Linked DNA regions of Tamandua tetradactyla. The protein of the gene in region 2 purifies or fractionates together with the protein of the main gene of each other region. This does not show direct contact. Links are inferred from orthologs where the notes say so. Each region holds a gene or a part of one and is shown on either strand. Other genes may lie near its edges.

Evidence for each region. The genes of interacting proteins can lie anywhere in the genome.
Region 1: the proteins of ACTR3B (region 2) and ARPC5 purify together in Homo sapiens (affinity purification with mass spectrometry; 5 studies listed by BioGRID and IntAct, counting the BioPlex papers as one, with this or other methods). This does not show direct contact. The link is inferred for Tamandua tetradactyla from reciprocal best matches to the Homo sapiens genes ACTR3B and ARPC5.

What each region holds. Positions count from the first base shown.
Region 1 is NC_135330.1:38,564,732-38,571,805, reverse strand, and holds the start of ARPC5 (actin-related protein 2/3 complex subunit 5), read left to right. Parts: upstream 1-4,058; 5' UTR 4,059-4,285; coding exon 4,286-4,428; intron 4,429-6,724; coding exon 6,725-6,806; intron 6,807-7,074. UniProt on the Homo sapiens protein: Component of the Arp2/3 complex, a multiprotein complex that mediates actin polymerization upon stimulation by nucleation-promoting factor (NPF).
Region 2 is NC_135327.1:197,440,030-197,448,000, forward strand, and holds the start of ACTR3B (actin-related protein 3B), read left to right. Parts: upstream 1-4,912; 5' UTR 4,913-5,085; coding exon 5,086-5,129; exon of another isoform or gene 5,130-5,297; intron 5,298-5,551; exon of another isoform or gene 5,552-5,574; intron 5,575-7,971. UniProt on the Homo sapiens protein: Plays a role in the organization of the actin cytoskeleton.

The DNA of each region.
Region 1 (7,074 bases), on a different chromosome or scaffold from region 2:
AATACGATATGCCAGAAATGGAGCAGCTTTTTTTTTTTTTTTTTTGTATACTGTACGGCGGGGTTACATTTCATTCTTTTTCCATGTGTGTCCTGTTATTGCAGCACCATTTGTTGAATGGTTTGTTTGTTTTTGTTGGCTTCTTTGTTTGTTTGGGAAGTGCATGGGCCAGGAATCGAACCAGAGTACCTCGCAAGGCAAGTGAGAATTCTACCACTGAAATACCCTCATATTCCCTGGAACAGCTTTTAAAAAGGGAATTTATTAAGTTGCAAATTTACAGTTCTAAGCCTATAAGAATGTTCAAACTGAGGCATCCAGAAAACGATAACTTGGATCAAGAATGGCCAATGGGTCAGGAACACCTCTGTTAGCTGGGAAGACATGCCTGGCATCTGCTGGGGTCTCTGGCTTCTCCTTTCAAGCGACTCCTAGGGGGCATTTTTTTTCTTCACGTCCAAAAGCCTCTGGCTGTGTGGGTTCTGTTGGCTCTGAGCTTTTTCCAAAAGGGTTCCCTCTTAAAGGGCTCCAGTAAGCAACCTCACCTTGAATGGGTGGAGACACAGTTCCATGGAAACAATCTAAAGTTACCACCCACGATTGGGTGGGTCACATCTCCACGGAAACAATAAAAAAGATCCCACCCAACGACACTGAATAAGATTAAAGAACTTGGCTTTTCTGGAGCACACAACAGATTCAAACGGGCACAATCATCATCACCATAACTGAAATATACTTATTTTGTATTTATAACACACATCTGATATATTTTATTAACACTGAGTTCACTTTGATTCCAAATAATAAAAACAATAGTGCCATGCTAGCAAAATTCAATGACTTCATTTGTTTAAATATTTAGAGACAAATTTAAGGGAAAGAAGCACATGGGCAGTAAAATTCTTGGTTTAAACTATCTGAGAAGACCTATTATAGGATCATGCTATTAAAGTTTCTTCTAACTAATAAGACCCTTGACTTTGCATCATCATAGAAAATTAGAAGGAGCTATATACTATCATGCAGCATTAACTTTTAGAAAATTCACATTCTGTCTCGCTTTAGTAGTAGTCCAAACCAGGTTATTTACATAAAAAATCAAATGTCTCAAAACCTTATGGATTCTTTAGTTCAGGGTCAAGTACTCATCTTGAAATGTAAAATAGGGAGACTAATATTATTTACAATGAATTAAATATCATAGTTAACATTAAACATTTGGAAATTTGCAAGGAAGTGGGATAATGTGTACAATGTGTATTTCCTAATTAAAAGAAAAAAAGATAACTAAGGATGAGTCTCTTCACAAAACATCTCCCTAAGATTTATAAAGATTTAACTATTAGCTAACGTGGGTATTAATGTCTATTCAAAAACACTCAGTTTTTAAATATAATTCCAAAATTATATTTGTTCCAAAACTTGTCACATCATTAACTCATTTGATAGAAACTTATTGAGCACCAACTATGTACCTAGGCACTTAGTTCATTGTGAGACAGTAAAAAATACTGCAGTGGAAAAAGAACCTTTTTGACATCTGAAATGTAGTATGTATTTTGAGGCTAAGAATTAATTACATTTAACACATTCAACATACAGTGCAAAATTCTGAGCAATAAAAACCATTATACCCTTGAGCAACCTCGATTTTTAAAAATTCTCCTCACTGTTCCCTTTAAGTTGATTTTTACCCAGTAAGTCTTTCTCAGTTCTAAAATAAGAGAATAGAAAGATTTCCTAAACAAGACTTAATACAAAAGACTAGAAATGTAAGAGAAGGGATTATTAACTCTTGAATCCTTGTTGCCACTTACTCTCAATAGTGCTTTTAATGCTCAATTTTCTCTTCAAAGAAAATCCTGAATTATAAGAACAAAAAGTACAATCATCTTTAGAATCTAAATAAGTATGTTGTCTAGCTCTTACTAAAATTAGCAGAAGATTTAAACTGAGAACAAATATTAAAACAAACCTTTATTCTAAGTTATATAACGCCATTCACCATAAGCAATAATTTTGTATTTTGGTATCCGATATTTTAAAATAAATATTACTAACAGGTAGAAAATTTGTCTTTGCTGTTTTACAGTCCTAGGGGAGTTTGTATCAGTATATTTGTTTAAAACTTGAATGTTAATTTAAAGAAATGCCACTTTCTGTCACCTAAATGACATATCTTCTAGAAGGGTAATTTAATCGAGAAATGAAAAATACCACATTGTTTTCCTCTCCCAAGGAAAAAAGATGCATTCAATTCCTGAGATGTCTCTCTCTCTCTTTCTTCCTCTCTCTCTCTCTCTCTCTCTCTCTCTCTCTCTCTCTCTTTCTCTCTCAAAGGTTTGAGGTCTCTCTTCCTTTTCTTAGTGATTCATTATTCTCAGTATGTTTTCAACCTAACTGCCTTTCACACTTCATTTCTCCACCAAGCATTTATTGAGTACCTTCTGCAAGCTTAACTTTATGACAGATGTAAAGAAAGGTAAATATATATATATTTATCTATCTATCTATCTATCTATCTATCTATCTATCTATCTATCTATCTATATGGTCTGTCCTTCAGAATTTTGCAATCTCTTTTGGGGGCAAGTTAAAACATAATATATCATTTAGCAATTTATAAAGCTAGTCCCCAAATCAATGGTACAGGTAACATACATTTTACATTAATGCAGAATTTTAGCGCTTCAAAACACTTTTGTGCATTTAATCTTCATAAGAATCTTATGAAATACACACCATTATTCCTATTTTAGGCATGAGGAACCTGAGATTAAAAATTTTAAATTGCATGCCTCAAGCAGATTATAAATTGTAGCCAAGACTCAAGTCTGGGTTTTTATGATTCTAAGCCCAGTGCTCTTTTCAATACACCACAGAAAACCAGGTATTGAGTTATTCAACAGGGGCAACAGTCAGCCTTCTGCTAACGGAGGACCTAAACTGGATCTGATAGAATGGCAGGAAAATATGAAGCCACCTGAGCTGTGTCCAGCTAAATGTTCAAATTAATTTTATTCTGCATATATTTGAACTTTTAATTAATTTGTACTTCACTGTAATACATACAGCACAGCTACCTTTTTTATAGTGGCTTTACCTCAATAACAGCTCTAGTCTCGGAAATGGGGATGCCAAATATAATAAAAAGCTGGCCTAGTAGCACCATATAAATCATAATATAAATATTATAACAATATAAATATCATAAATATAAATATTAAGGGTCTCATTTCTACGAATCCTAACACATTCTGTTTCCCCTCAGCACCAGAGAGCCTAACTTGCCCCCACCCTCCTCTAGCATTCTTGCTCCAAACCACCACCTATTTTAAGATGTGAATAATGACTGACCAAATTCTACAGGTTCTCCGGTTTTACCACCCAACCCCCGCCCCTCCCAGCCACCTTCCCCTCCTTCCCAATGGACACGATACCGAGTTCAGCTTCTGCAGGTCCTGTCATGATGTTGTCACACAGCACTGAGAAATAAAATACGACCTTTCGACTCCGTCCTTGGGGACCTCTCGTTGGCCGCACGATGTAGTTCTAAACCCGGGGAGGGGACCTAGCTTGGGAAGACCGTCCCCTGAAGCGCGGTGTCCGAAGCGATGTCTCCGACAACTAGAACGACGCTGGGCATCCGGGCGTACACCACTCCTCCCCATCCTCCTGCCAACTGCAGGGAACTCGGTCCGGCAACCAGTCCATCTCACCCCATGGGTAAGGCCAGATCAGCCGGACTTTACGCAGAACTCCAATGACAGCTCAGCCGGGAGAGCAGCAAAAGCCAAGGCCGCCGGCTCCTTGCGCCCATAGCCTTCAACCTCGGACCCCCCAGACTGGACCGCAGAGAAGCGTTTCTATGGGAACCCCCTCGGGATTACGTGACGCTTTCGGACAACCAATTGCCTGTTACCTTTGGCAGCGGTACCGCTTTTCGCTTTGCCTCCTACTCCGCCCCCTCCCGCCCCCGCCTCCTTCAGCCAGCCCCGCCCCTTTCCTGCGGAGAGTCTGCGCATGCGCACTGCGCACTCCCTCCCTGCCGCGCTCTCCTGGGGACAGCGCCCGGGGCGTAGGAGGCTGGAGAAGAGCGTGAACCTAAGGAGGAAGGAGCGGGGCCACCGCGCAGGCCCAGAACCGCCTGAGCCGCGGCTGCCGGCGACGCCCCAGAGCGGAAGAGGGAAGTGAAGGCGCAGGCTGCGGATTCTGCTGGGTTGGGGTTGTTGAGGAGCGGTCCCCACCAAGAGGAGGCCTTTGCCGTCGGTCCGCATCAGGGATGTCGAAGAATACGGTGTCGTCAGCCCGGTTCCGGAAGGTGGACGTGGATGAGTACGACGAGAACAAGTTCGTGGACGAGGAAGACGGAGGCGACGGCCAGGCCGGGCCGGACGAAGGCGAGGTGGACTCCTGCCTGCGGCAATATCCTTGCGTCCCCCGCGCTCCCCACCCGGCTCTTCTCTCCGGACCCCGCCACCCCGCGGGGTCGGAGGGCCAGGGACCCCTCCCGGGACGGACGCGGAGCTGCCCCTGCGGCGCGCGGGTGGAACCTTCCTGTTTGGGGGCCCCATTCTGAGGAGTGAGAGGTTCCCTCCGATTCTAACAGAGCCGCCTCGAGACCTCAGGGTCCCAGGCTGGGGAACCTGCCCTTCCGAACGCGCCTTCCACGCGCCCGGACTCCTCAGGTTGCTCCGGGAGTTCCTGCCTCTGGGGAACAGGCTTCGCCAGCCTCGCCCTCGCTGCGCTGGGGAAGGAATTAGGTGCCTGTCGGTAGGGCTGTGTTTTCTCTGTGCTCTCCCTAGAACGGTCTTTACTAGACTCGCTGTCGCTCCAGAAATTTCGGATCGGGGAAAGGGCATGTTTCTTTAGTGGCTTTGTTTGTTTTTGTTTTTTTCTTGCGTTGAAATAGTTTCTTCCTTGCCAGGAGGGATACCGCGGTTCGCAGAATGAGATCCTAGGTCTTTTCAGCCCACGACCTACTGCTGCCTTTTTTTTTTTCCTTTTTTTTTCTTTTAAGAAAAAAAGGATTTGGCAAAATACAGCTTGCACAAAATTTAACTGAGGGGGGGGCATTTAACTGAGGGGAGGGGAGTGAGTACAAAACAAAATTCCCAAGAAAGGAAGCTTGGAGTGCTTTACCTGCTCGAGAAAAGGTTGGTAGAAAACGGGGAAGACCTAAAGAGAACCCGTGGATATATTTAAAATAAATTCCCGTGAGTAAAATTGAAGAGGAGTCGTTTGTATAAAGCAGAAACATTTTTGGAATCCCTAAAATTGTTTCCGTTTTAGTTAAAATGTGACTGTCAGTGCCTGGGTTTTGGTTTTGCGTATTTTGAGTAATCATATTTAGTTATTCGCATTTGCATCATATCTTTTTAGAAAAATGTAGATGTTGCCATACAAGCTGCAGTTTTTCAGATTTTGGGGGGCTGAACTTCATGCTTTTCTAATTATTCCTGTCCATAAAAGAAGGAAGGCTTTTCATACTCTTTCCTCATGCATGTTCTATTAAATTATAATGGGGGAAATATTTGGTACAACTATATTTGGCTTTATCAACGTACATATGTTCCCTTGATTTCTTCAACTTTCACAATCAGTTACGATTTTGCATTATTTCGATATTTGTGATATGTTTTGCATCTTAAAAAATGAACCAATCTACAAGAGGCATGCTTCGCTAGAAGTTTGAAAATAACAGTTTATCACCAACCTTTGAGTTTTTTGGACAGACTTTTTTCTCCGGAAGATAAGTGGAAAATATTATTCTTTTTGACATTCTTTAGGATGGATAAATCAAGTTTTGTAAGACTAATTTAGCCTATTTTAGATTATTTGTATGACGCTTAAATAATAGTGCTGTAGTCCTCTCAGTGGATCTGATTTTTAATCAATTTATCTTAAAATATAAAGATATCTCTTCAGCCTTTGTTATGAACCAGGGGAGATAAGCCTGCCTTCTCTGAGGGAGCCCAGCACTAGAGATGGAGGAAATAAGTGAACTTAGTGGTTTTCCTTTTAGGGGAATGACTGTACATTCTAATAGTCTGATTGGCCTTCCGTTTCTCATAGTAGCTAACCCAGTGGTGCTTTCAAAGAGGCTAAATGTAATAGGTATGGGCTAAAACAGTTTGAATGATCTGAAAGAATATATCCAAAACAGAAAAATTAAGCTGCCACCTAAGGGTCGTTTGTGTTATTACACTTTCTGTGATGTCTCCTGTCATCAATATTGAGAAATGCTAATAATATTGTTGAGATGCCAGGGTAATCTACCAGGATTTTCTACCAGAATTTCAACTATTATAGAATAAAGTTTTGGTAAAAGTTTAATTTTTTTTCCTAGTCATAATCACATAAAAAAGACATTTTGATTGCTAGGGGACCTAATAATTCTGATATGTATTTTAGGGTTTAATACCACTCTGGATATTGCGTGCATATGTTTCCCACGGGAATATGAAAGGTTATCAAGGTATTCATTTGCTATTTAGAACCAAAGGTGAAAAGTCTTTACAAAAAAATAATGTAATGTTCTGTTTTCAGTAGTTTACCTTTGAAGGCCATCTTTGAAACTGGCACATTGAATTTTCCAATAGTGAACATAGTGACTATAGTAACTTTTCCTTTTTATGTAAAAGTCAAGTTATAAAAACCAATGGTTATCAGTAGTTATAGTGCTTTCCTAGGGGCTATCCTTTGCTTTTATCTCCTTAACCTCCATCACAGGAAATATGACAGCTGCTCTACAAGCAGCTCTGAAAAATCCCCCCATCAACACCAAGAGTCAGGCGGTGAAGGTGAGTCACTGACAGCCCAGTGATCTCTACTGGGATCTTATCATTTGTCCCCAAATCCCCTGAAGTTTCACAAAACCAGCAAACTATTTTAGCTATTCACTGTCTTTGACTTAGAAGAGCTTACTATTTAGATTTGAAAAATTACTCTTTAATATAGTTATGATAATGCATGGTAGGTATAATAAGTTCAAAGAATTCAAATGACAAATCATTCCTGTGTGTTTTTAGAGGGGGCCACACAGGTTAAATTTGAGCAAGGGCTTGAAAA
Region 2 (7,971 bases):
AAAACTAAGTTATACTGTAATTCAAATTCTCCATTTGAACTGGATAGGAATACTGTTTGCTAGAACAGGGGAATTTACTAAAATGCACTCAGTCTATTTTGTTGAATGAATAAATGAAGTGAATTTGAATTGAAATTGGAAGGATGAATGAGTCTTGGAGGATAAAGATGAGGTAGCTGAAGGAGAATGTCGAAGACTGAGAGGACTGCATGATGACCTGACGATGCAGAAGGTTTGAAGAACAGTGTCTGTGGTCTGCTGTGCCCTGATGTGTCAAGGGGCATAATGTGAGATGAAATTAGAAAGGTTAACTTAGGAGCAGATCATAGGGAACCTTAAGACCCACCATAAGAGTTTGGGCCAAATTCCATAAATAATAGGGAGTCATTGAAGGTTTGGGGGAAAGAAGAATGACATGATATATAAACTTTCTATATTTTGTAATGATACCTTTTACAGCAGTGTAATTTGTCCAAAAGGTGTATTGAGTAGGCAAAAGCCTGGAGACAGGGTGGCTGGAGCAGGGGTGTGGGGAGGTTTTGAATAGTTCAGCAAGAACGACAGTAGGCATGAGAAGCAGGGTATGGACACAAGGGAGGTGGTGAGGTTGAATGAACAGGACTTGGAAGCTGACTGGTGTAGGAGAAGAGTGAGAAGGAGGAATTGAGGATGAACTTTCTAGTCTGAGTAATTTTTATTAATGGAGACAGAAACACAGCAGAGTTGATCTGAATATGTTTAGTGTTGACGGGATTTCCTTAACTGTTTTGTGTTTTTTTGGTCTGTTGTCAATTCTTTGATACACTCCAGCCCATCAACTTTAGTTTGGATCATTTTTTTCTCACAGTTGCCAACACATCAGGGAGGTCCATTGAGCTCAGTGACAGGCCCTTCCTCTTAAAGGAGAATGCCAACTACTTGAAAGGAATGGAGTACTAATTTTTTGGTACTCTTTTCTCTTTGAATTTTCATGGCAACAGAGAACACACAGAGTGCTCCTTCTTACAGCTCTGAGATTTAAGACTCACGGAGTTGCTGGGTGGGCACTTTTTAAAGAAAGCCTTTAGTTTTGTGTTCTTTTTTTACTTCTTGGCCCAGCACAACCAGTTAAATGCAGGAAATGAAGATCTCATTGCCTGAGTTTTCATTGACTAAATTCCTTTGGATAGCCAATGTCTAAGCCCTGCTTATTTTGTTTTTAAAATTGTCTTCATATGCATAACCAGCATCAAAAAGTGTTCATTGAAGTTCATTTGAGAATGGTACTGGGATGTTATAGCACCCAGGATTGTAGTCATGAAATAGTTATACCATCTGCCATGGAGGGGATGCTAAATTCTATCCAGGAAGTGTTATGGTATCCATGTTTCTGCCTGTTGGGATGGGGCTGAGTAGGTCACTTTTGGGTAGAAACACAATCAAGAGATTGACTCTCCTGTGAAATAGAGCTGATTAAACCTTCCCTTCTATTACAAGCAGAGCACAGGGAGATAGGCTGAGCCACACAGAGTAAAGAAAAATATTCTGGACTAACAGGCATTTGGTAGCAGGCATTTTGCAGTGTATATTAGAGTGAGCAAACCTCATTTGCAATATAACTAATAAAAATTGTACTTGAAGTATCTCTTGCAGGATGTAAGGTTTATCTCTGTGGGTATTGTACACTAGGCACTATAAAAAGTGATGCAATAGCCTCTGATCTATAGGAGTTCACAATCATTCATTGACTGGTTACAAGGTCCCAGATGATGTCCTGTGAACTAGAAATATAAAAATATATAAAACATAATCCTACTCTAAGGGAGCTCCCTGTCTACTGGGGATTATAGTCCTGCAACAAATTACAATGCCATCAAATAAACACTAAAGTGAAAGTATGTATGATGCTTTCTGTGAGCACAGAGGAGAGGGATTAGATTTATGAAGTAAAGGTGTGCTTCATAGAGATGGTAAAGCTAGAGCTGGGTCAGCAAGGATGAGCAGGTTAAGTAACAATTTCAAGCAAAGGCAAGATTATGTAAAAAAGGCATAGGGAAGTGAGAATATATGGCTTAATTAAGAAAATTATGGGTGATGCAGAAACTATTTCGTTGTCTGCACAATGAACATTTGCCTCTTGCTGACCAAATTCAGCATCAGTCAGGCACCAGCTGCCATATGCTTCAAAGGACAGGACATCCCTCTCCAGCCTAAGGGGTTTGTTTTCAAAAGTTTGCCATTCACAGTACAACAGTATCCCTTGCCAATAACTGTTTTTTTTTTTTGCATAGGCTGGTTGATGAAACAAGCAGGGAAGCTGCCGGGGACTCCTGGAAAAGTCTTTCTTCCCTCTTTGAAAGATAATCAAGATGGGGAATTTCTTTTTCCTTTCTTTGTCTGTTTTAGTGCATGCAGCTGCTGTAGCCATCTTGCAATTGCAAGGGATGGGCCTGAGGACAAAGGCCAACACACAAGAGGTTGGTAGAACAGAATGTATAGGTCCACAATGATGTCATTGAATTGGTGGAGTTCTCTTAGAGTTACTGGATTTCCTATTACATGAGATAATAAAATTTCCTCATTGCTTATGCCACTTTTAACGAGGTTTTCTCTTACTGTGTATGAAAACATCTTAACTGATACCTTGAGGGTTAGTGGTATCTAGAGGAAATCATTGAAGTTAGAGTCTCTGATTTATTTCCTGTCAGCTGCTGACCATGGCCACCATTCCCAATAAATTCTATGCAAAATCCCTGTAAAGGAAAACTTTTTATTACCAGCCAGTTCCAAATTCCCTCAAAGGCGTATTTCCTGGTGAATGGACAATTGTTTGGGTTACCCAGGCTGCTCAAAGCAGATATCATGAAATGGGTTGGCTTTAAACAATGGGAATTTATTGGCTTACAGTTTGAGGCTGTGAGAATGTCTAAATAAAGGTGATGCTTTCTGCCTGAAGACCAATTGCTGGTGATTCTTGACTCCTCTTCCATGTGGCAAGGCACATGGTGGTATCTTCTGGTCTCTCCCTTCCCTTATAGGTTCTTTGCTTCCAGCTTCTTGTTTCCAAGGCTTTTCTCCTCTCTCTCTCTCTCTCTTTCTCTCTCTCTCTCTCTGTATTCATTTCAATTATAACGGACTCCAGTAATAGGATTAAGACCCATCCTGAATTAGGTGATTCACATCTTAACTGAAGAAGCCTCATCAAATGGTCTTATTTATAATGGGTTTACATCCACGGGAATGGATTACATATAAGAACATGTTTTTCTGGGGTACATGTAGCTTCAAACCACCACAAACATACATGAGCCTTGAGGTCCTTCTTGTTTTGTGCAGATTGTTTCCCATCCTAAAACACTCTCTCATTCTCCTCTGTCTAGTTACCCTCTATTCATCCTCTGGGTTTCAGCTTAGATACTATTGCTCTGAGAAGTCCTCACTAGCTGACAAGTCAGAGTTGGGTGCCCCTCTAGTGGCTTTCCAAGCCTTTTGGACTTGCCCTATCTTAGCACTTAATGAACTGTATTGCAATTGCCTCTTAACTGCCATTATCTCCCATAGAAACCGATGTCTTGGGAGCACAGACTGTGAGAATCCTGCTTACTGTTGCAAGCCCAGTGTTTAATATAGTTTCTGCCTTACAGTAAACACTTAATATATATTAAGTGACTGAAAGAAAATAAAAGACATCATGGTGCCAAGCCAACAGTCTGCAGTCCTAGAGTATATCTATGGCATTTTGGCTAGTGCCATGAAAAGTGGGAGCTGGGTAGGCATTGGCAAAACTCAAAGTAAGCAAGTTAGTGTTTTGCCCATATGGATTATACTTGGGATCCTATATTGGTATTCTTCTACACTGCTGCCCTTTCACTTTCCTCACATTTTCTATTTCTCTCTCCAGTTCCCCTGAAAATTTTCTAGGTCTGGGGCTTATTTGACCCTTTTAAGTAATATGGGAACAATAATGATTTATCCAAGAGTGATCAACTAATCTATTACTTCTCTTAGGAAAAAAACACAGTGCTTTAAATACCAGTTAAAACCACATAAAAATTACATGTCTCCAAAAGTTCATAAAAAATTTTCAAGAATTTATGATAGGGTAGAGAGCAGGAAGCAAGTTGGACTTCCAGTATCCTCATAACATAGTAGGCAGGTGTTTGCTTACTCTGATCCATGATTTCAGTAAGAATTTTTGGATGATAATTTTATCTTTGATACCTGAAAATATGGCATAATATTAACTAACCCTAAGATAATCTCTTAAGGCTGGCTATGCATATGCCTTGCAGATTTTTCTTTTCTAGAGGAAATTAGTGTTCTGCTAGGTATAATAACTAACAGTCGTCTCACCTGCCATGCTGGAGACCCGGGTTAGATTCCCGGTGACTGCCCATGCAAAAAAAAAAAGGAAAACTAATAGTAAATTTCTTCAGGGTGAAAATTATTCATTCATTCAACATTTGGGTGCTTCCTATATATGTGCCAGATACCATGCTAAGCACAGGGTAACCTGTGGTGAATAAGACAGACATGAGCCCTGTCCTAGTAGAGCTAACAGATCAGTGGGAGACAGACTACTAATAAGTAGAAAAAGTTTGCTCTAAGTGCATGAATGAAAGCAATTCATTGCTGAGACAGAATCAGGTGTGGGGTGGAAACCTAATTAGGTTCCCTGAGAAGGTGACATTTGAAGTGGAACTTAAAGGATGAGAAGAAGCCAGGTCTCGGAAATGGGGTCACCTTCACCATAAATCAGTCAAATATAAATACCAATCTCTTCGGCCACAAGGGTACCATCCACAACGTATAAGCACAGAAACCTCATACCAGCACTAAAGATGGCGAGAGAGGGGAGGGGGGCATCCTTGCGCCGTGATTGGCTAGGACAGAGGGAGGAGCGTCACGTGGCTCTGCCGCGGAGCATCCGGGCTCCCGAGAGCGGTGCTGCCTCTGGCTACCCGAGCCGCGGGAGAGGCGGCCCCGTGGGCGGGGGCGAGGCAGTGGGACCCACGCGTATAAGGCCGGCCGCCGCGATCGTAGCGGGGGTGTTCCTGGGCCGCTCGTCTAGGCCGAGCGGTGCACGCCGCGCCCGGCCTTCCGAGCATGGCGAGTTACCTGCCTCCTTGCGTGGTGGACTGTGGCACCGGGTAAGAGCCTTGCCATCTCCATCCCCTCAGTCCGCTGGACACCCTCATCCCTGTTCCTCCCGCTTGCTCTGGTCTTCCAGTTCCACAGGCGTTGAGCAGTTCCTTGTGGCCTCCCTCGCGGACCCTGCAGCCTGAGGTATCCCGCCTTCTCCCCTGGAGGTAGAGGTAGCTGAGCCCTGGACTCCCGGCCTCAAGCCGTCTACCCACCTGTGCGGATAAAGGCGGCGGCATCTCCACCCTGCACATCTCCTACCCCTTTCCTTAAATATTTCGCCTTTAGATTTTAAAATTCTCTTTTAACTACCAGTAAAGGTGTATCTTCCGGGGCGCGCAAAAAGGTCACTCACCTTGAGGAAAGGGAAAGAATGGAGAGGGAGTGACGGGCCCCATATAAATCTGTTTTGATTCTCTTCGTGTCCTACATCCTCTTAAGTGCTGGGCCGAGGTGGGTACCCCGAACTTCCAGCCGCAGTATCGCTGAGTAGGACCCTCTTAGCATCTCACCCTTGCCTTGAAAGCCAGTTTATTTAGGTGCTTTCAACCTTCTGTTCCTGCCATCCAGTATTCTTAAGTGGCGCTTATTCAGTGCCCACATCAATTGTGTTTTATTTCTCTTTGCTGATGATTTACCACCTAGTTACGGAGATGTTTATATAGTCCTATCGACTTGATACCCTTTTTACTGCCTTCTTTTCTTTTCCAGTATTAAATGGCTCACTCAGGAGATTAATTCTTGTTAAGTGCTTGCTTTAGTTTGAATAGACATGCCCTTTAGCTTAAAAATGATGTGGGTTAAAAGACTCCATTTTGAAAAACGGAAAGGTTAAATTTGGGGAAGCTTGTTTGTGAATTAGGTTTTTATTTTTTTTTTTTTACCTTTTTTGTGATTGCTTCTTTTACTGTTATTAAGATATACAAAGAAGACCTTAGGTAATTTCTTGTACTTTGAATGGCCCAAGCTTCCCTGATTTTAGAGAGGTGATTGCTGAATCCACAATGCTGGTAGTTTGGAAATTCAAGCTTGCCTGCTTACATTATGGATAAAGTTCTTAATAAAATTGCCTGGAATTAAATTTACTTGCTTGAAGATTTGTCAAGAAGAGATTTTAATAATCGTTGCCACAAAGTATTCCATGGCCTGTTCACCTTAACCTTGATTCTTTTTAGTAGAAAAATACGCTTGATTTTGGTTTCCTTGACAACCTAGTGTGGGTGTCATCTTCAATTTGTTACAGTCCCTCTCCTTGTGATTTTTCTTTCTTTCTTTTTCTTTTGCCATTGAAACTACTGCTAGTGATTATAAGCTGGAGAAACTGCCTCTTTGCTAACGCTAATTCTTCTTTTTGAAATATACATTGTGCCAGACTTTTGGTGGCTCATTATTTCAGAAGTTATTTTACTGCTCAAAACATGAGCTAAAATCAGTATTGATGTTAACCCCAGGGAGAAATTCTTGGCTCCCTTATCCATCTTCTCCTCTCCACCCCAGACTCTCTCCAGTTTCAGCGTTCACCTCACACCCCTACTTTATTTAGGTCTAGTTGTATCAAGACTGAAAGCAACAGGTAAAAATATTTTTTCATTTCCACATTTTCATGTGAGAACTTTTGCTTTCATATGTTTGGGTCTTGTAAAACTAATAGAAATATCAAGCATTTCTTAATGGTAGCAAGTAAAATGATATCCACAGAGTTTGTCATACCTTTACTATGAGTGAGCTGGAGATCTTACTTGTCATTCTTGCTATAAATATGTAAAATGTTGTGTGAATTTTTGACCTTTTGAGGTAAATGCTGAATGTAGCTTTGTGGATTCTGAGATACAACTTTAGTTATCATTGTTTTATGGTCCAAAGTCATGCTGTTGTCTTCAGGCTCCTCAACTTAGAAGTGCTGGCAGGGCTTCCTCTCAAAGGGTTTCACATGGACATATTCTGTCATGGAAACTTCTGTAATTCATCATGAGCTCCCATTGTCCAGAGTATGGCTAGAAGAGTCTAAATTTATCCTCTTAAGCATGTTGGTAATCCTTATATTTTCTAAAGAGCTGAAATTGTTTCACAATTGAGTTTTACCTCAAAATAGGATAAAAATGATAAAACATAGCCAAAAATAACCAGGTTCAAGGAAAAGAATGGGCTTGGGGAGTCATCTTAAACTTAGGCTAGTGCTTCCTGTAATTGGGCCTCTGATTTGGCCTTAGTCTTCATGACAAAGTTATGAGAGTTATGTGAGTTCGTAATTCCTGTTATCAGGAAGGAAGAGAAACACCTGTTTCTCAGGTGAAAACAGTTCTTTCTAGTATGAAATTCTAAAAGAAAAAAATTCACCTTGAACTATACTTAGTGGACACTGATGATTTATGATCCTAACCAGGACCATAGCAAATAGATTGCATTCTGGTGGCCTCACATCCGTTAATAAATCAGGGACCAACTAAGTGAGGAAAAGTGGGCTGTGGACCAAGACGGTAGTATGGACCAGGGGAGATCTGCTTGATCCAAAGTTAAAGCTTCGTCTGTTTAAAGGAATAGAGAAAATATTTCACAAATACCAGTCTCAGTCTCTTAGCTGATTTTTGAAAATGATTTTTTAATTGAGATGTATATTCACATACCATATAATTATCTAAAGTATATAATCAGTGGTTCATAGTATTATCATATAGCTGTGCATTCGTCATCACAATTGATTTTTGAACATTTTCATTACTCCAAAAAAGAAAAAAAGAATAAAAATAAAAGTAAAATGAACACCCAAAACATCTGATCCTTTGATCTAACATTCTCTGTTAGAAGAATGATGGGTTTTGTGTACTTCCTCAGGATGATGAATACTATTAT